2 linked regions of the Lonchura striata genome follow. The protein of the gene in region 1 purifies or fractionates together with the protein of each later gene. This does not show direct contact. Links are inferred from orthologs where the notes say so. Each region holds a gene or a part of one and is shown in the gene's direction. Other genes may lie near its edges.

Region 1 (10,929 bases):
TGGTGTGTCTTACTTTTCCCAGCACCAACATCTCATGTTTGCTTCTGAAAACCCTGCAGCACATTTACAGTGTTATGTTCTTCACTCACAGGGAAAAATAATCTTCAGTCTTTTGCATGGGTAAGATAGGTTCAATTATCCCAGTAGCTTCTCCTTCCTTTAAAACATCTGCATATCTTGGTTGTGTCATTTCCGTTCTCAAGACACCTAATCACTCCCTCCCACTTCTCTGATTATGCACTGTAGAGCAATTCAGTAATAAAACACTTAATTAAATAGCCACATTTCTTTTTTATACCCTTTAATTAGGTTACTTGGAAATAATAATAGTTTCTCACCAACCTGAAGGGTTCATTATTCCCCTCTGCAGATAACAGGAAGTAATCTATGTTTTCCTACTGCTATTTTTCTAAATCCTAAATCAAATTAATCAATTCTGATTTTAAAGTCAATTAGAAATAGATACACTCTGACACTTCACCATTATCTTCATGAGTGAAATGAATTCAGACTCTCCTTACAAGGCAGCTGAACAAAGTTTCTCCTTCTAGGGGTGACAATTTCAAGAAGTCAGATCTTAAAATACAAAGCACTTCCTGCAATAATTACCCAACTAACAAAATGCTCCAGAAGAATAACAAGATTGACATTATGGTACTTACAAAGTGCTTTTAACACCAGTACAGAAAAATGATGTGAAAACAAAGTACTCCTGCATTTATAAATCACCAGCTTTACACAGCCTTAAGTCAGACAGCAGCATTAAGCCATAGTTAAAAGACTGACAATTGCTTAGGCACTAATGGGTGCTGATGACACCTGATGACTGTTCCACAGTCATTGTGAGATACTTGCTTGGGGCTGTGTCTATCCCAAAAACAGGTAAACAAACATCCACACTAGCAAAACTGCCTCCATGGAGATATACTCATTCTGGTCTTCCCAGTAAAGGGACCAGCTTCATGTTGCCAAGTTAATCAGCAATAGGGACTGAGGTCCTACAGTAGGGTGGGAAAAACCCTTAGGAAATTCAGCAGACAAATAAAGGTGGTCAAAGGTAGTTCTGGTTCTAGGAGGGAGTAACTCAAATTCAGCAAGACATGGGGTTTGGTGGAAGAGGTGCTGTGCTCCCAGTAAGTTGAGTAGGACCCCAACTGAGCGGCCTGTGACAAAGAAGGACATTCAGAAGGGCTTGTCACCAAGAGTGCAGCCAGCAGGGTGAGGAACCTCACCTTTTACTCTGCAATGGTAAAAACTCACCTGTGGGTGCTGGGACCAGCCCAAGCTCCCTGGTGCCTGTCCTATATAGGTGCTGATGAACCAGAGGCCAGAGGAGACCACCAAGCTATCAGGCATGGAGCACAGGACACATGATGTGAAAAATGCCAATCACTTGTTTTAAAATTTTAAAGTTTAATAGTAATAAAATGGCTATAAAAATAATAAGAATTTGGACAATCAGAGTTAGGACAATAAAAACCAAAGAAATATGGACAATCCAGGTGCCTTCCTAGGGCAATTTAGCCCTGAAAGTACACATGCTAACAAAGGATTAACCCTTAAAAGCAGTAGCCTGTTGCATATTCATATATTCATACATGATGCATAAATTCTTTTCAAACAAAAGGTATTCTCTGATTATTATCAACTTCTTCCCCTTAATCCTGATGGCTCCTTAAAGCTTAAAGCAGAAGAGGAGGTGGAGGAATGTTTGTCTTTTCTGATAAGGAGGCAGTAACTCTTTAGGTGTCTTGTTGCTGTTATCTCTGTGCAAATAATTTCTTGATTATCTCATCCCTTTCTTGAGCTAGTTAAAAAAAAATCTTACATCACAAAGCTTCTATTTTAACATTATTTTATAACCTAAAACTATATCTACCGCACTATTTAAAAAAGGTTAACACAGTAATTAATACAACATAACACATATAGTATTCCTTTGCAATGAGCCAATCATATAATATGCACTTTTCACCCATGAGCAGCTGCTGAGAGAGCTGAATTTGTTCAGCCTGGAGAAGAGAAGGCAAAGGGATGCTTTACAGCTGCCTAAAACTGCCTGCTGGGAAGGTGTGAGGAGGATAAGCTATACTCTTTGCAGAGCTGTGAAATCACAAATATAAGGAAATAAAATGGACTAAGGGGCATCATACACTGGACTAGGGCACAAAGGGGCTGTGCGATCTCCAGCCTTGAAGGTATTTATCTCTGACCTATTCTGCATTATCTAAGTTGGTTCTGGTTCAAGCATGGGATGGATCTAGAGGCCTCCAAAGCTTCCTTCCTACCTGAATTATTTTGTATTTAAGTGATTCTGTCAGGATTTTTGTGTGCCTCACACAAAAACCAAACCAAACCAAAACAACAACAACAAAAACCCTCATACCACTTAACTAAAAAATCATTAAACATTTGTAAAGGAGCTAAGAAACCCAGCCCTGTTTCCAAGTTTGACAAGAGACTTGCTGTGCAACCCTTAGGAAAATATGTAACATTGGAAAGAAGAGGTTTGTCTTGTGTGAGGTCAATAGAGTTGGCTGAGTGGAAAACAAAGGGAATGAAGGTGGGGTCTGTTTTAGGAGAGGGAATCCTGTACTCTAGGGATAGGAGAATAATAAGAATGTTCAGTGCTTCTGTTACACAGCCTTGTCCCAGCCCTTTAGCTGAAGGAACCTAAGGCCCACAGGTATCAGAAAGCAATGTCCATTTAGACTTCTGCTCAAAAATCAAACAGAATCCCAATATTTTAATGATCTTGCATTTTTTATTTTTATTATTACACAAATTATTTTTATTATTACACAATTATTACACAATTTTATTTTTATTATTACACAAAAGGTTCAAACATGGAAATCATTTACACCACTCTGCCACACAGACCCTTATCCTCAGTGGCTTCCCAGTCAGCTCTCAGCACGAACAGCACTCAGTGAGTGTGGCAGTTCTCTTACAACAGGGTAAGTTTCCATTAGAGATGTGAATATTATTATTTACAATAGCCCAACAAAGAATAAACACTACACATATTTTGCCACAAGTACAAATCCCATTGACCAGTCTGGACTGGACTGAGAAATAAAAGAAAAATATTATGAAAATTATTAAATATTATTTCTCAGAAATTATCTCCCAGAAGCACAGCTTCACCATATCAAACCCAGCAAGTGTGGAAAGCTACTAAGCATTCAGTTTTCCTGACAAGCCTTTGCACAAGATCATCCTCCAGGAAGGTTCCCTATCTGTTGGGGTTTGTACTTGTCAAAAGAAAGCTATGACAGTAATAGCAAGAAAATTCCATCCTGCCTGAGTATCTTGTAGTTATAAAAAGCATAGGGGGAAAAAAGACAATAATGAAGCATTATACTCTTCTCCCCAAAGGTAAATCTTGGATACATAGTTTTTCTGCCACCCAATTATATTCATCTTCATTCACCACGTATTCTGTGGTAATTATTTATTTGGTCTTCCAGTTCACTGATTCACAGGCCATGATTTTTACTCAGGCAAATGATATCTGAAACAGTGTGAATGTGACAATTGCTCTGCATTCCTCTTGTCCTGGAAAGCACAAACTGATCAGTAGTCTGCATCTGGAATACAGTCTTTTTCTCATGAATTTTACAGAGCAGATGGAACAAATGGAACTTAACTGGGGGCATCAGAAGCTGGAAAACAAAGAGAGTAGGGCTGCCGAGGTTGAAAAAAAGAACTTTATCTGAAATGCCAGTTGGAAAAGGAGGGGGAAGATAGTAACTCAGAGGACAACTGATGTGATGTTCTTAAAAACAGACACTGAGTGTTATTCATACCTGCTTTAGCAACCTTCACCTACCAAAACCAAGTACAACAAAAAGAAACTGCAAATGGTCACACTGCCCTGGGGATGGGTACATGCACCCCTGCTGGATCCTACAGGGGCTACAGGGATGTGTCCTTGGGGCAGCATCCGGCTTCTTCCTGCAAACACTCAATTCTGCTAAAGGAAAAATTAACCCAGGCGGCTGGAGAGAAAGGTACAGTGCAATGGTCCCACCATTGGGAATCAAACCACAGGCAATCTGCAAAACCAGAGTTATGTGCCAGCTGGGAGACAACAAACCCACCACAAAGGATGCCCAGCTTTGGAACTCCAGCTGCAGTCAGCCAGAGTGTCACTGGCCAGGACAGGAACTGGATGAGAGACCACTGTTTATGTAGGTGATGCATGAGACAGAAATCTCTGTTAAGCAAGGCTTTTAGAACTCATTTTTATCATTATTAATTTGAACAGAACATTAACTATGGAACTTTAAATGTATGTCTACATGGTCAAATATCTCTAAAGGAACATAGAGACTTAAAGATGCATAGAAAAGGTTTAGAGAAAATACAAAAATCTAGTCCTTATTTCAGCTGATCAATTTGCTTATCATTATACTGGGCTGTAACCTTGGCTCCAAACTTGCTTCCCATGAATTCCCACCTCTGACAAAGCCGCAATGCTCCTGATTTTTCCATACTCAGCCTCTAGCTGAGCAGCACACATTGTTCTGTGCTGGAATTAAAGTGATTTCTGTGCCTGAAGTGATGTGCACATGTACCTTGGCCAGTCAGAACCATAGATGGCTGATTGGCATCAAAACACGTGTTGGTCTGTCAGGGAAACAGTTCGAGACGTTTTTGTGCTTAGGCCTTATCAACAGAAGCAGTCACTTAATTGTGGCTGTGAGATATTATTGGAGTTTATGTGTGGAAGACAAGATGGATTTTCACATCCTACCAGTTTTAAGAAAATGCTAAACTTTGCACTGGCAAAGTGCATAATTTTTCTGAAGAATTATTGAGGATATTCTCCTACTCTCTGAAGACTGGATATTCTTTCCTCTGATTTCAGAACATAGACTCTCTCATTCCTCACTGTCAAAAGAGGAAGTGTATTGTAATTTCTATGCATTCACTTATGCAATAGTGCGTTCAGGCTAAGAAAAAATACACTTGAAACAAGAAGGATTTTATGTAAGGCTAAATAATATCAATGGTTTAAGCACCTGAAGCAGACACTTTAAAATCACAAATGTTACTTTATTTTCAAAGGGCTTTGTTTTGTGTCCCAATGCCCACAGTGACAGCAGTGATGTCCCAGTTGCTTGACTGTTATAGACTCATGCTTGCAGGATGTCCCTTTGTGGTCTCAGAGATTTCCCATTACTGGTGTCACTGCAGAAACGTAGGGCCAGTGATGGCCATGGGTTCCTCAAGGTGTTCCTGTACCAGCCAAGCCCTCAGGGGTGCTTTGATTATCCAAGATTTTTACTGTAGTAAAATATACACACACATACATATACACTCTGTTTACGGAATCATAGATTCATGGAATGATTTGGGCGATCCTCCAGAAAGGATTCGGAACTGGAGGCACCGGATCTTCCACCCCTGCCATGGGCAGGGACACCTTCCACTGTCCAAGGCTGCTCCAAGCCCTGTCCAACAGTGCCTTGGACACTTCCAGCCACAGCTCCTCTGAGCACCCTGTGCCAGGACTTCAGCATCCTCACAGCGAAGAATTTCTTCTCAATATTCCATCTAAACCTGACCTTCGGCAGTGGGAAGCTGTTATGTGTAATAAATATAATTCGCACCATTCCTCGTATGAAATATGTAATATTGGATATTTGTTAAATCATGCCCGTTGTATTAGCTCCCCCCCGCCCCCCCTTTGCAGGCCAGACTGGGTGTATATTGGAAACTGATTTACCAGTAAAAGGATGTGGCTCGGCCAGGAGATGGGCCATGTCTGGGCTCCAGGTGTTGATCATCACTATCATCAGTGCTGATCGTCCAAGATGGATATCATGGAAATCCTCAGACAGATTCATGTGAATGCAGCCTTCCCGTAAACTCTCATCAAGAATTCAACTACTCTGGACATTGAATTATTTCTCCTCATCACCAAAAAAAAGAAAACCTATAGACTCTGAATAGAAGAAAAGACTAACTGCTCAAATCTTGGCCTCAGGTGGAATTTTCCCTATAAAAACCGCCTGTGCCAGGATGGAAGTGTGTGGGCATAGGGGAAAACCTCTGCTGAGGCTGACTCCTTGTTGCACATCCAGGGTCGATCCCGGGCTCGGCTCTGTCCTTTCCGTGTGGCTGACTAAATAGAATTTGACCGCAAATAAAATGATTTTTATTTTTAATCTGGCTGAATAAATTCTCATTTATAACAGAAGCCATTGTCCCTTGTCCTGTCACTCCCCTTATTCAAAATCCCTCTCCAGCTCCCTCGAAGCCCCTTCCGGCACTCAGAAGGCGCTCTGAGTTTTCCCTGGAGCTTTCTCTTCCCCGGATGAACACCTCCAGCCCTCCCAGGCTGGCTCCAGAGGATATGGAATTCTACTCGTCGCCGTGAATTTCACGGCCTCTCATTGTCCCTCACGGTCCCTGCCGGTCACTCCCTGTGGCCCGCGCCGAGCATGCGCAATGCATGGCGCAGGGCACGGTGGGAGTTGTAGTCCTTGCGCAGCAGCCGGGGGACTCGGCGCCTGCGCACATCGCGCCCGACTTTGCTAAGTCGCTGCCGGAGGCCGGGCGGGCCGCGCTGCCATCTTGGACCTGAGGGACGGGGGAGCCGCGGCCGGTGAGCGGAGCGGGGCCGGGAGGTGGAGGCACGGGGGTAGCGCTGGTGACGGGACGCGGCGGGGAGACACGGGGGACGCGGGGACACCGCGGTCGGGCCCGGATCCGGAGGGGCCGCTCGGCCCGGGAGGGGCTCGCTGAGGGCGGACCCGCCGCTCTGTGCCCGGGCCCCGCGGGGCAGCGCCCGGCGCGGGGCGGCGCAGCGCCCTGCCGGGACCCCCGCGCTGTCTGCCCCACCGCCCGGCCGCGGCTGCCGGGGGCACCTGCCCGCACCCCGGTGCCTCCAGTTCCGAATCCTTTCCGGAGGCTCGCTCCGTTCAGGGCTGTGCTTTCCGCAGCTCTTCCAGCACAGCCTCCTTCCCCGGTGTGCGTCCCCCCTGTCGCGGGGCTTCTTCCAGGTGTCCGGGCGTTCCGTGTCTTTATCTCGGCCGGGTAAGCCGGACATTGGAGGAATGTGTCCTGGCGATAAAGCGTGACTACAGCCAGAGGTTTATCCCGAACTGTGTTCCCTCTTGTAAACACGGCAGAATGGCAACGTTAGTGCCACCGCTCTATTTTGGAAACGCGGACAAGTTCTGGCTGTTAACTCTTCCGCTGCCACGCCGGTTATCTTTGACCTTGTGTGCCAATGCTGTCGAGATAAAAGCAGACAAAGGTGTTCGAGGATGGATTTCTCTAATTTGCTCTAATATTAGAGAATTCAGCTTGTTTTAATTGCTATAATTTGTGATGTTAAATTGTCAGAAGACCTTCTGATCTGTGTGTGATGCAGAGAAAGGGGCAGGTGTAGCTTTTGGGATACCTGTGTTGTGGCAGCCTTATCCCTTGATGCTTCAGGAAATATCCCTGGCAAAACTTACCTTTATAGCCTAGTTAGAATTGAAGAAGTCAGAAACCGGGATATTTTAGACTGTCTTTTCCCAATATATGGCTGCTTATTGCCATGAGTTTCTCAATGTTTTGTTTAGTCTCTGTTACCCTGCCTGTCAACCTTTCCAAAGAGAAGTGGAGAGACATTTGGACTGGTATTTGAAAGAAGGCATTCTCTGCTGAGGGAGTGACAGTAGATTCAGCAATTGCTTGTATTTACCTGAGAAAAGGCACAGGTGTTTAAGAATGAAACATGAATCACAGGCCATCTAAGGTTCATCTTTTAATGCTTAAAAATGTATTGTTGGAAAAAACAGTAAATTCTTTCCTGTTTTCTTGAAGTGAAAGTCCAAAGCAGTTGTAATTTAATTACAATTACCTTGCTATTCACTACAGCTGTTTAAGTCTGGACTGTGACTAGTGTGCATTCTTAGTTGTGATTTAGGTGGCATTTAATCACTATACTGAATCCATTCACCTCCAAATGATCTTTGGAATAATATGTAGCATTCAGACCCAAAGTGAGTTTTCTTGTCTTTGAAACAACAACAGTAGATGTGAAAGATAATTTTGGAATGGAAAATAACTGAGACTTCTGAGTGCTAACTTTAAAAGCTTCTTACAGATTAAAGTTATTTTGGGGCTTAAGAGAAATTGAGAGGAGATTATTTATATTAATTTATTAATTAAGCAGCATCACCTCTTTTTCTTCCATCAGTTTTCTCTCCCTTCTTAAAGTTATATTTCTTGTGTTGTGACACAGACCTGAAACATGAATTACCTTATTTCTTTGTTTTAAAGTTTCAAAATGGTTTGGGGAAAACTACAGCATAAGGTAATAGGAAGAAAGGCAGTAAAGTAGCATAGTGTTTGTCTTGAGGAGATTAAATTTATAATTTTTTTTTAAGAGAGCTTGTCATAGACTGCTTGAAAAATGTTTCATGAGAGATTTACAAAGTAATTTCCTTCTATTTTACAACATGTGAAAGAGATGCTTGGCAGCAGCATTATCAGTATCAGTCAATTATAGTGTCTAAATAAACATATTTTGTGAGTTTAAGCTGTTTAAACAAAGTGATAAATATATTCAGCCATAGTGAAGTACTTTTCAAGCAGTAAAACCAATTTGATTTCTTCTTAAAAGCAAGGAAAAGAGTCTGCAGGGTGAGAGTAACAGAAAAAGCCCTTGCACATGGAAACAATTAAGCTTCTGGGAGTTTATTTTTAAGCTTTTCTCTTTGGGTGTCCGCTTATGTTTGTGTAATGTTCTAGTTTTTATCATTCTACTGTACTTACATGTAATTGCAGGAACTTCTTTGTGCCCTCACAGCTGAGGAAAGTGAAGGTGTGTGCATAACCCAGAGGAGTGTTGGCCACAGCTCCTTACTGTAACTGTACTTTGCCCAGCTGCAGAAGCATTTTGAAGTGAGTGCTTTCCTCAGAAGAGGACGTAGACAAGTCATGATTATAGTCTAGCTTGGGAGTATTCTGGAAATTTAGTTTTACTGTCTCATAACTTGAGTATTTTTAAAGACTGTAGGCAGTCCTTCTTTGGCTTGGTTGTACTGTTAGCTGAGCTAAATCTGTGTGCACATTTTGGTGAGAGTCTTCTCTCTGAAGACTAAAGCAACAGAGACTTGGTCAATTAGAGTCTCTAAGTTGATGACATTTAGGTTACACTGTAGTGCAGAGTTGCTGGAGCTGAAGGATTGATAATTTTTCTTCATGAGAATTGCAAATTACACATAATAGAAATGAAAGTATTGCAGCAAACTGGAAAAGAGTGTTTTGAAGAAGCCAAGGCCCTGTTTCAAAAGACCAGCTCTCAAGTTATGCCTGGAATTTCTGCTTTTACTATACCAAAGCACAGCAGGGTTTTTTTCTCCCCTCTGAGGAAACATGATACCACATCTTGTTGTGCTGGTTATTCAAATAGTTTTTCAAACTTGGCAGCACGTTGCTGTTATTAAAAAAAAGTTTTATTTTACTCCTCCTGTTTAGGAACGGATAGTTTCTGCCTTCCACCCACCCGCCTGAGCTATTCTCAACTCTGCTGCTGGGAGAGGCCTATTGTTTCAGTCAGGCACAGAACTCCTGTCATGTTTGTATTTACATCATTGGTTCTGAAGCTGGAGCTCAGACTCAAATGGTGTTGTTGCTCAGCAAGAAAAGTCTCTTCAGGTGGATTGTTCCAATTTGATTGTGTGGAACTTTGTTTCTAATCAGGAAGTGGAAATTAGGTGACCTTTACCTGAAATGTGCAGGTCTCGGGTTCTAGATTTGGTAGCCCATGATACAGAAGCTGGAGCTTTCAAGAGGAGTGTGTTGCTATCAGCCAGTATAAAATTTTCATGTTCTCAGTTTTCCATTTTTTTATAGGTCAATTTTTCTTTCAGTGGTAGCCTTTACTCATATTTTTCCTTCTAAGTATTAGCTGGGTACCTAGTAATCTTTTTGAAGTTTATTACTAAGGAAAAGAAAGATCAGGTAAAAGATTAAAGTGATATTGAAACAGAAAAAGACAGGTCTGCAATCTGCTTCTGATTTATTAAGTAATTAATCAAATAGCCATTTGCAGCAAAATATCCATCATGAATATAAAACTTGTGACTGGAAGCATGTTAATTTTTAGAAAAATAAAATAGGCTCTTTGATACCTTCAGTTTCATGTGATTAGTATGGAACTTTTGCCTGAGCAAGTCATTCATAACTTACTACCCTTTTTAGCTTTGCCTCATTCAATGGAAAAAGTGAAGGAAGGCTCAATGTTGGGCAAGCTGAAGAGATGGACTGAGACACAGAAGAGTGGGTTGTGTTTATTTTTAACATGCTTTTGGTCAGTATCCATGCTTAGTGCCTCCCCAGTCACCAGTGCTAGCTAATGTTTAATTATGTATTAATAATCACTAGTCTTGCTTAACAGTTAGAATGCTCAACTATCCAGATTTTTATTTTATTCACTGCTGTCTTCATAAACATTTGAATGTATTAAGACTTGTTGTTCTGAACACTCCTCTTCTACTTTTCTGATACCCTGAGGTTTTTGCTCTGTCAGTGCTGCTCTTTTCATTTATTTGCAGAACAGATAGATGGAGCAAGTTTGTTCTGTATAAGGATTCCTCATCTTTAAAGTTGTTTTTTTTTTTAATTTGGCTTGTCAGAGCCTGAATTAAGTGATCTGTGGATCACTCTAATTTCTCTTAATAAGGCTTGTGTCTACAAGTGTATGTGCCTTCTATATGTACATGTGTATTTCCTACTGCTGTAAGTATATAATTTCAGAGACTACATAAGAAATGTGTTGATCAATATACAAAAATGTTCGTAAAATGGTAATGTATTTGGTCTAATCTTTAACCAGGCTTCCTAACTTCTGTGAAAGAGGTGAGCTGCATATTTTCACCAGATTTTACCTCAACACCCTTTCCTGTCTATTCAGAT
Region 2 (10,103 bases), on another chromosome or scaffold:
AACCAGGGAGGAAAGAGTTAAGAGCAGGAGATGAATCAGCCCCTGCTCTAAATGCGGACATTTCACATTTCCTACCTCTCTGCTCAAGTGTCTCTTCCTGTCCACAGGCTTTGGGGATGCTTACAGACCTGGTCGCCTTCAAATGACTTCCACCACAAGGGGAAAGCCCGGGGATTTGTTTTATTTCCATAGGAAAATGAGATTTGTGAATGAACTCAGAGAGCAGCCGGGCCAGGGATGACCGACCTCCTGCCCGTGTCACACCAGGAGGGGAGGACCAGGCAGCAGCTGGTGCCACTCCTGACCCCATGGCAGCACTACAGGTGCTCTGCTCCACAGAAAATATCCCCCACACCATGCTCCCCAGTGTTTTGAGGCATCACACAGACCACAACAGTGACACTGGCTCAGCCAAGCACAGCAGAGGTCGCACAGCCTCTGGATTGGGATCCACCACCCTGCTGGAAACACAGAGGCTTGGAGCAGAACAGATGTAGGCTGGCAGCAGGAGGAGACAGGGAGAGGGAGAATTCAAGCTGCTCCTCCACGGGGATATTGATGTTGGACATGGAGCAGTGTCACGGAGCAGCACAGAGATGCAGTTATTAGTGAGGGATGTTTCAAGAAGGCAGGGCTGTGTCTCCTTAGTCTGGGAACAACACAGCAGCACCAGCAGCCTGGAAATGGGAAATATCTATTCCAGCACCCCCCAGGATCCTCCACTGCTTTCACAGAATCCCAGAGTCATTTAGGTTGGAAAAGACTTCCAAGATCATCACCTCACAAGTCCAAGCTGTGACCAATCCCCACCTTGCCACCAGAGCAGAGCACTGAGTGCCACATTCCTTCAACACCTCCAGGGACGATGACTCCACCACCTTCAGCCAGCTGTAACCAACCAGTTGCTTTAACCAACTGCTTTAATAAAGATCAGGCAAAAACCCTGGAGCTTCCCACAGGCACTCCCCCAAGAAACTCTCCAACAGGGATGAAAAGAAACACATGGAATGAGAAGGTGGCAGTGCCCACTTTCTGCCCAGCACAAAAACTGAGTCTCTGTCTCCCCAGCACCCCCAGGGCCTAGGGGAGCTGTGGTCCCTGTTCCCCAAAAAGCATCCTGGCTCTTCACCCAGCCACAGCAGAAGCCATCAGAGAGCTGGCAGTGCCATGATCATCCCTGTGATCCCATTTCTCCCCCCAGAGCTCCACACCAAGCCTGTTTCCCAATTTCTCTGGCAATAACAGCGTGAGTTTGCATCTGATGCTTGACAGACACAGACAAATCCTCTCTGCAAACCTGGCTGCAGCCCCCACCCCTGAGCACATCCTTCCCCTCCCTGCCACTGGCTGCTGCAGCAACAGGAATTAAAATAAAGATGAAAAACTCCTGTTGGGGCCGCAGTTTTATTTCCTGTCGTTTCTAGAACTCCTTGTACAGGAGGAAGAAATCCTTAAATATTTCCAAGCATCCTGCATGCTCACAGCAAGCTCCCCCCAGCCACGAGCAGGCAGAGAAGGGATGACTAATTTTTTTTTAGCATAAGACGCTGGGAGAGCGTCCTGTGAACAAGCTCAGTAAATTCCTGAGGCTCCCGGCAAGGACTCCACCACTCCTTGCGAAACTTCCCAGCTGGAACCGAAAAGGCAGAAACCATCGTTTTCTCTCCCTCGACAAACAGAGTTTGGGATTCCTTTCGCGACAGTATTTGGATTTTTAATGTCAGTCCATATTTAGCAGGAGAGGAAAAAAAGCCTCCCTTCCTTCCTGTCACATTTTCCACCCTCGATGACATCCAAGATCAGAAACAAGCAAGTGCTGGCCGAGGAGGGAGGATGCAGCTAGCCGAGCGTGGGAGAGCTTGGAGAGGGGCAGCACTGACATTCCCGTTTGGGATTCCCGTTTGGGATGCGAGGAGGGGACACACCCTTTGAGGAGCAGAAAGAGCCAGGGAGAAGGGGACAGAGCTCTGAAGGAAGGACAGAACCCTCAGACCCCACAGCAAAGATGGTGTCCCTTCCAGTGCTACAGCCTGGAGCATCTCTGAGAGGGATGGCCCAGGGGGCAGCCAGGACACAAGCCCCCAAGCTGGAATATCGGTCCCAAAAGAAGCTTTTGGCCACTGGCATGGCCTGGATTTGCCAAGGGGGACATGGTCTGACCGTGGGTCAGGAGTAGAAGCCCCAGAGTCCTGAGTGGAGGTGTCCAGGGAGCCTGGCCATCCTGCAGCAGGGTGGTGGTGGGTGGTGGCAGGAGATGGTGGCCATGGTGGCCCTGCCCTGCAGATGTTTTTTGGGTCTTGGATGGGTGTCCTCAGCTTGGACTTCCGTACCCAACCCCGTGGGTCACTGCAGACCCACAGGTGCAAGTTCACAGAATCATGGAATGGTTTGGGTGGGAAGGGACCTTAAAGCTCATCTTGTTCCATCCCCTGCCGCGGGCAGGGACACCTTCCACTAGCTCAGGTTGCTCAGAGCCCCATCCAACCTGGCATTAAACACTTCCAGGGATCCAGTGGCAGCCACAGCTTCTCTGAGCAACCTGTGCCAGGGCCTCACCACTTGCCTAGGGAAGAATTTCTTCCTAATATCTAATCTAACCATACTCTCTTTCAGTGTGCAGCTATTCCCTCTTATCCTGTCACCCCAGACTCTTGTAAAAAGTCTCTCTCCATTTTTCTTGCGGGCTCCCTTCGACTACTGAGAGGCCCCCATTAGGTGTCCCCGGACCCCTCTCTCCTCCAGGCTGGACAATCCCAATTCTCCCAGCCTTTCCTCGCCGGAGAGGTGCTGCATCCCTCCCATCAACTTGGTGGCCTCGTCTGGACTCGCTCCAAGGCAGCAAACCCAAGAGCCCCAGCCCGCGATCACTCGTAGAAATCACCATTCTCCCTGCCAGATACACCCCCAAAAATACAGACGCTAACCCCCCACTTCAGCGTGGGCAGGGTGGGGGCGACCCACCTCCACGGACGCGCGTGGGTCGCGCCCCCCGCCCCTTCCGCCACCCCCGGGCCCCCACAACAACCCGGTGCGCCCCCCCGGCGCTCCCCGCGACCCCGTCCCCGCTCACCTGCGCCCGCCGCTCCCTCGCCGCCTCCCGCCCGAACGGCTCCGCTGCGAGGCCGCCTCGGCCGCCCGTCACCATGGACGGCGCCGCGCGGGGAGGGCGCGGGGTGGGGGGGGCCGGGGGAGAAGGGGAGGGGGATATGAGGGAAGGGGAAGGGGTGCGGGAAGCCCCCGCCGCCCCTCGGGGCTCTCCCGGCGCTCAGCGGCGCCGCCGCCGCCGCCCGCCCGCTGCCGCCGCCATCGCGCGGCTCCGGGCCGGGGGCGTGGCCGGGGCGTGGCCATGGGCGTGGCCAGGCGGGCCCCGGGCGCGGGGTGGTGCCGCCCCCTGGTGGCGCGGAGGCGGCGCTGCGCCTTCGCCCCCGCTCCTCCGCTCTTCAGCTCCCGATTCCGCTTCCCAAAATTCCGGAGTGGGAAATTAATTAACTATTGACTGTTCATTAGGGAATTAATGACAAAGGAAAAGCTTTGGTGGGATACTACGGGAATGACGGAGAGAGACTCTTAGGAAGGAGGTGCGGAGACAGAACAAGGAGTAACGTGTACGAGTTGAAACAGGAGGAATTTATATTATTTATATTGGATATTATTATATCCACTAATATTGCTGTGACCGCGGCGAGAACAGGAACAGGTTGCCCAGAGAATTTGTGGTTGCCCCAAGGCTGCAAATTTTTAAACCCAGGTGGGATAAGGCCTTGAGCAACCTGGTCTAATGGGGGTTGTCTGTACCCATGGCACTCAGCTTGGGATGATTAAAGTCACTTCCAAACCTTTAACATTCTGCGATTCTATGATTATGATTGTACCATTCTGCGATTCTATGATTATGATTGTACAATTCTGCAACTCTGTGAACACGAATTACTGAGTGGCTTTTTTTTCATGTGGTAAATTTTATCATTATACTGATCTCTTCTTAATTATAGAAACAACCCAGAAATATGATCGATTTTTATGACTTAGAATGAGAAAAGCTGGATTCAATTAATTATAATCACAGAATGGTTTGGGTGGGAAGGGACCTTAAAGACCATCTCGTTCCACACCCTACCATGGGCCGGGACAACTTTCCGCTATCCCAGGTTGCTCCAAGCCCCATCACCTGTGGCCTTGGACACTTCCAGGGATGAGGATTTTCTGGATAAACTGTGCCACTGCTCACATGAAGGACCATATTCCAGCTCCCAGAATCACAGAAAACTGAGGTTCAAAGGGACGTCTGGAGATCATCCAGTCCAACCCCCTGTCAAGGCAGTGTCACCTGGAGCAGGTGACACAGGAATGTGTCCAGGTGGGTTTGGAAGGTCTCCAGAGAGGGAGACTCCATGGCCTGCCCGGGCAGTTATTCCAGTGCTCTGCTACCCAAAACATAAAGAAGTTCTTTGTCACATTGAGGTGAAGCTACCTGGGGCTCTGCCCCCAGGTAACAAACAACAGGATGAAGGGAAAATTGTTTCATGGAAGGTTTAGATTGGATTGTAGGGAAAATTTCTTTTTGGAAGGGGTTTTCAAGCACTGGAAAAAGCTGTCCAGGCCAGTGATGGTCAGCATCCCTGGAGAGATTTAGAAGCCATTTGGATGTGGCATTTGGGGATATGTGTTAATAATGGCCTTGGCAGTGCTGGGGGAATGGTTAGAATGGAATGGAATGGAATGGAATGGAATGGAATGGAATGGAATGGAATGGAATGGAATAGAATAGAATAGAATAGAATAGAATAGAATAGAATAGAATAGAATAGAATAGAATAGAATGGAAGAGAATGGAATCATCCATCTTCATTTTAATTTTGTTTTGTCAGTGGAGCAGCTTTGGGGTGTGAAACTTCTCCCGTTCCCCTAGTTTTCAGACATCTTTGTATTATTCCTTGTCCAGTCGCTGGGCATCACGGGAAAGAGTCTGGCACCATCCTGTGACCTTTGCTTGGAGATGTTTTTATGGATTGGTGAGATGGCTTTGGAGTCTCCTCTTCTCCGGACTCAGCAGGCCCTGCTGCCACAGTGTCCCCTGGCAGAGGGGGACAGTGTCCCCAGGCTGGCCACGCTCCGGGATCTCCGCTCCCGCTGTCCCGAGGGACTGGGAACCTGTCCATGCTCCTGTTGTGGGTTTGGGGTCCCAAATTGGGCAACTCCCTGGAGCAGTTCTGTGTCAGCAAAAGCAGACACACAGGACTTTTTCCGTCTTCATCTTCTGTTTATTGTTACCTGATCAAAACTTCAGCACGCTGTCTGCACCAGACCTTGCATGCTGGAAAACAGCACAAAAATGGCCAACAACCTCGTCTAATCAAAAGCTGCCCAATTAAGAAGTGACACCTAAATTATTTTCCTTTCTAACCCAATAACTGACCCCTAAAGACCCGCAATGTGGATTTTTCTACCCCATTACAAGATACCACCTAAACCCAAGAAGGAAGAGGAAGAAGAGAGGAGAGGAATTCGAGACAACACCCTATATCCTCCATCTTGAACCCATCTATAACACACTAAAAATCCTAACACCTAAATTCCTCACCCATGTGACATACTAAATTACCCTCTACAATCTACTTCACACTTTGGTGGTTTCTAGTTTACCTTGAGGCTTTGGAAGTTTTCTCCACGAATGAGGGTCACAGTCAGAGCTCCCCTGGGGGTCAGAACCCCTCAGGGCAGACAAGGGCAGTCCCCTGACGTGTCCCCACGCCCTGTCAATCACGGTGACGGGCGTGCGCCGCAGCCAATCAGCGGCGGCCGCGACGCGAGGGGGCGGGGCCGTGGCGGCGGCGGGCGCGCGGCGGCGGCGGGCGCAGGTGAGGGGCCCTGAGGGGCCGTGAGGGCGGCGGGGGGGGATGGCGGGACCGCACCGGCCCCCACGGCCGCCACAGCCCCGGCAGCCACCCCCGGCCGCCCTGACAGGGGGATCTGCGAGCGGAGAACCTCCCGGAGATCCCCCGGGGGTTGAAGGTCGCGCTGAGGGCGGCGGGGCCCTCCTGGTGTGGGCGCGCCTGCGGGCCGCTGTTCCCTGTGGAAGGAGCTCTGTGCCTTCCCCTTTGGTTTTTACATTGCTTATGCGGGATTCCAGCCATGGCCCCTGGCGCTTGTCTTGGCCGTGTCGCCTGTTTTTCCTTTGTCGTGACGCCCAACCCGCCGGGTGAATCCAAACAAGCAGAGTGGGAATAAACACGGCGTTTATGGTGGGAAGGAGCGAGGTGTGTGTGGAAGTGAAGCTGAGCGTTGAACTTAAAGCCGAGCGAACTTTGTGCGCGTGGTTTCCGACAGGATTTCCCGTCTCATCATGGCAGTGTTTGTGCCAGGGCACTGAGGCTCGCCAGCAGCCTCTGCTCACCCGAGGTCTCTGTCCCCCTGCAGGTGCTGAGCCACGATGGGTTTGGCTGAGGACAAAGTGTACACCCACATTACGAGAAACCTCAAGAAATTCAGCACTATCCGAGTGGCGTCGCTGGCCGATTCCCTGACCTGCCTGGTCGATTCTGACAGAGTAATTTCCTATTTTCCTGAGCTCTGCCAGGCTCCTTCCCCCATGGCAGCATAGAGTTATCTTACCTCTAAGCCAGACCCTCTCTTAGATACCCTGTGTGTTTTTCCTAGGATGAACTCCTTGCCCGGGAGGAGATGCGGGGCAACCAGGCAGCTGTCTTTAGATTCTATCAGCACTTGAGGTGCCGGAAGGGCTGGGTGCAGGATCTCATCCAGGCACTTCACCAGAATAACGCAGGGCACTTGGCTGATGAGCTGCAGGAAGTCTATGATACCTGGCAACCTCGACCTCGTATGTAGCCTCATCCTTCCTGGGTGTGCCCCGTGGGCTGCTGGAGGTGGGGACATGACATCTCTGTCCCTGCTTCAGCTTCCGAGGGTGCTGGAGGTGTGTGTGACTGTCCCAGGGATGTCCTTCACTGTGTGACATGTCTGAGGATGATTTGAAGGTGCTTGGGTTGGTGGTGGGCTGGGGTTCTCACCTGAGGGAAGATGGAAAGATAACAAAGGGGTGCTGTGGGCTTGGCTGATGTGGGGACAGAGCATGGACACACACACAGGGCTGCCTCAGCCCCGCACTTATCCTCTGCTTCCTCAGTTTTTTCCACAATGATCTGCCTGTCTCTTCCAGGTTCCTCAGCTCCTGCTGCTGCCTCCTCCCTTCCCAGTGATGCCCGTCCCACTGCCTCCTCCATCAGTGCCCAGACACCATCCCAGGGGCCAAATCCTGCCCCTTCGGCTGGGCGGCTACGCCCAGACCTGACCACTGGTGACCATCCACCTGTCCTTCCCAGTGCTGGCACCACCACAAGTACGGAGCTGGAGGCCAGAATGCCGGTGCAGGAATCGGTGAGCAGGGCACATGTTGGATGGGGACACCAAGATCCCTTTGAGACCTTTTCATTGGGTTTTGGGAACCTGTGGTAGGGCCAGGCTCCTTTAGGGCCACCCCGAGCAGCTGCTTGCTGCTGATCTCTGCTGCATCTGGTAATTTACTGCTGATATATGGCCCTGTAACTGCTCCCTCTCATGTCTCCCTCCATGGGAGCAGTGCAGGCTCTGCTTTGCCACCAATCCAGGCTTCTCTCCACAACCCCAGACCCTTGGGTGGGTCCCAAAGAGAGACCCCAGACCCCATTCATAACCAGCCTTGCAGGGGTCACTGCTCAGGCTTTAGAACACCGCTGTGAACCCCCTCAATCCCAGTGATTTAACACAACCCATTTCCTTCCAGCTCCCCAAAAAACTCCCGGAGCAAGAGAATCCCCGGCCGGTTCCACCTGAGAGCAAAGTCCACAGCGGAGTGAGCGGCGGGCACAGTGGAGAGGGGAATCTCTCGCACCCCTCCGGGACCGTGCCGGTGTCAGAGGGGACATCAGGGGTGGCCGTGCCACCGGCCGTGTCCCCAGAGCAGGGCCGGGACTGGCTGAGCCGCCGGCCGGTGTGTGTGGACAACGGATTTTTTGGGAATGCAAACCACCTGCACCGCGGCACGCCGGGCCTGGCCCTGGGCAGGTCTGTTCCATCGAGGGATGCAGGTGCCACTCAGAGCCCTGGGCAGGCCAGGAATGAGCCCGAAGAGAGCTCGGATATCTTCACAGAGTCACCACCAAGGCTGGAGGGAGCCACTCGTGGTGTGGGGCAGCAGCCCCCAAACTCGGTGCCAAAAAAGCAGCCTGTGCCAAGCTCTGGGCATGGTGAGCCCACGGGCAGCTTCGTGGATGTGCGCAGCCCCCTCCTCATACAGGAGCAGTTTGATGTGGAGAAGAAGCGGGTTGGGATGCTGCAAGAACACCCAGGGAGTGGAGGTGGGTTTCCCTCCTGGCAGAACCTGGCAGCCACTAGGGAGCAGGAGGTGCTGCTGAGAGCCCCTCACTGCAAGAAACTGGGATGCTGGAACACATCCAGAGATGGGAATGGGACTGGGAGGGCTCTAGAGCATAAGTCTGATGAGGAGCAGCTCTGAGAGCTCATTCTGGAGAAAAGGAGGTTCGGGGGAGACCTTCTCACTCTCTACAACTCCCTGAAAGGAGGGTGGAGAGCAGCTCTGAGAGCTCATTCTGGAGAAAAGGAGGTTCGGGGGAGACCTTCTCACTCTCTACAACTCCCTGAAAGGAGGGTGGAGCAGGGTGGGGATTGGGCTCTGCTCCCAGCTAACAATCAACAGGATGAAAGGAAAATTGTTTTGCGGGAGGTTTAGATTGGATAGTAGGGAAAATTTCTTTTTGAAGAGGTTGTCAAGCACTGGAAAAAACCGTCCAGGCCAGTGATGGTCAGCATCCCTGGAGAGATTCAGAAGACATTTGGATGTGGCATTTGGGGATATGGGTTAATGATGGCTTTGGCAGTGCTGGGGAAATGGTTAGAATAGAAATTGAATAGAATATTTAATTTGGAAGGAACCCAGAACAATCATTTCATCCATCTGCATTTTAATTTTGTTTTGTCAGTAGAGCAGCTTTAGGGTGTTAAACTTCTCCCCTTCCCCTAGTTTTCAGAGCTCTTTGTATCCTGAATGTGGGGGAATTTTAGCATCTCCTACCTGTGGGCATCATAGAATCAGGATAAAGCCCTGACCTCCACTCCAGGGTCTTGGAGTGGGGAAAAAAGACATCCAGCCCTCCCAGCCCTTTCCCCTCTGCCATGTGGGGTCAGCACCTCCTGGCTGGGTGGCCATGGAGTTTCAGGAGCCTTAAAAGCCTCTGATTGCCTTGGTGCTCTCCAGCCCTGCAGCCCACCCTGCATGAGTTACCTGCAGCTGCAGGGAAAGCTCAGGTGCCGCAGCAGAGCCAGAGTCAGGGCACTGGGTCCTGCTCCCTGTGCCACCCCCTCAGCTTGGGGACTGTCCTGTCGCAGTTTGCCCGAGGAAGAGCAAATCTCACCTTTTAGGCCCCCTGGTTAACACAAAATGCTTTATTTTCTCCCTGACAGGTGCTTCAATGGAAAGAACTACCCTGGGTGCTACCCCTGTGCCCAGAGACACTTTCCCATCCCGTGACACCTCGGTGAAGTCTCTTACGCAAGAGAAGAAGCTGCCCATTGGGAATGCAGCCAGCAGCACCCCCTCTGTGCCAACGAAGGAGAAAGTAAGTGACCTTTTCTCTTGCCACTTGGATTTCGTTCATGTCCTTGTGCACTCCCTGTGATTAGGAGACTTTCTGTTGCAGTGTCACACTGTGAGCTGGTGATGAGTTTATTCCAGGATTTTTTTTCCCCTCTGCTGTGTTCACATTACCATCCACACGCTGTATGGTGGAGCATGGGAGAAGAGAGCTAAACTCTGTTGGGCTTTGACTCCTTATTTCCCCACCTTACCTTGCCAGTCAGTTTTCTTGCTTCCAGGTGCTGTTTTCCACTGCTCTCCTCATTGCTTGGCTCCCCTTCCTTCCTGCATGCCTCTCTCCTTCACCTCCCTGTTACCTGTGACCCAACGTTAGTGCAGATGTGGGACTGTGTTGAAGTGGGTTTGTGTGGGACCTGTGTGCCCAAAACCAGGCCATTGGATGCTTCCTTTGACACCCAGCCCCTCTCCTTGTTTCCTAAAGGTGCTCCCGGCC

Evidence for each region.
Region 2: the proteins of ITCH (region 1) and MAVS purify together in Homo sapiens (affinity purification with western blotting; 3 studies listed by BioGRID). This does not show direct contact. The link is inferred for Lonchura striata from reciprocal best matches to the Homo sapiens genes ITCH and MAVS.

What each region holds. Positions count from the first base shown.
Region 1 is NC_134619.1:13,572,062-13,582,990, reverse strand, and holds the start of ITCH (E3 ubiquitin-protein ligase Itchy homolog), read left to right. Parts: upstream 1-6,522; 5' UTR 6,523-6,619; intron 6,620-10,929. UniProt on the Homo sapiens protein: Acts as an Acts as an E3 ubiquitin-protein ligase which accepts ubiquitin from an E2 ubiquitin-conjugating enzyme in the form of a thioester and then directly transfers the ubiquitin to targeted substrates.
Region 2 is NC_134606.1:3,103,126-3,113,228, forward strand, and holds the start of MAVS (mitochondrial antiviral-signaling protein), read left to right. Parts: upstream 1-5,815; 5' UTR 5,816-5,858; intron 5,859-6,417; 5' UTR 6,418-6,430; coding exon 6,431-6,547; intron 6,548-6,657; coding exon 6,658-6,838; intron 6,839-7,177; coding exon 7,178-7,395; intron 7,396-7,780; coding exon 7,781-8,354; intron 8,355-9,477; coding exon 9,478-9,632; intron 9,633-10,091; coding exon 10,092-10,103.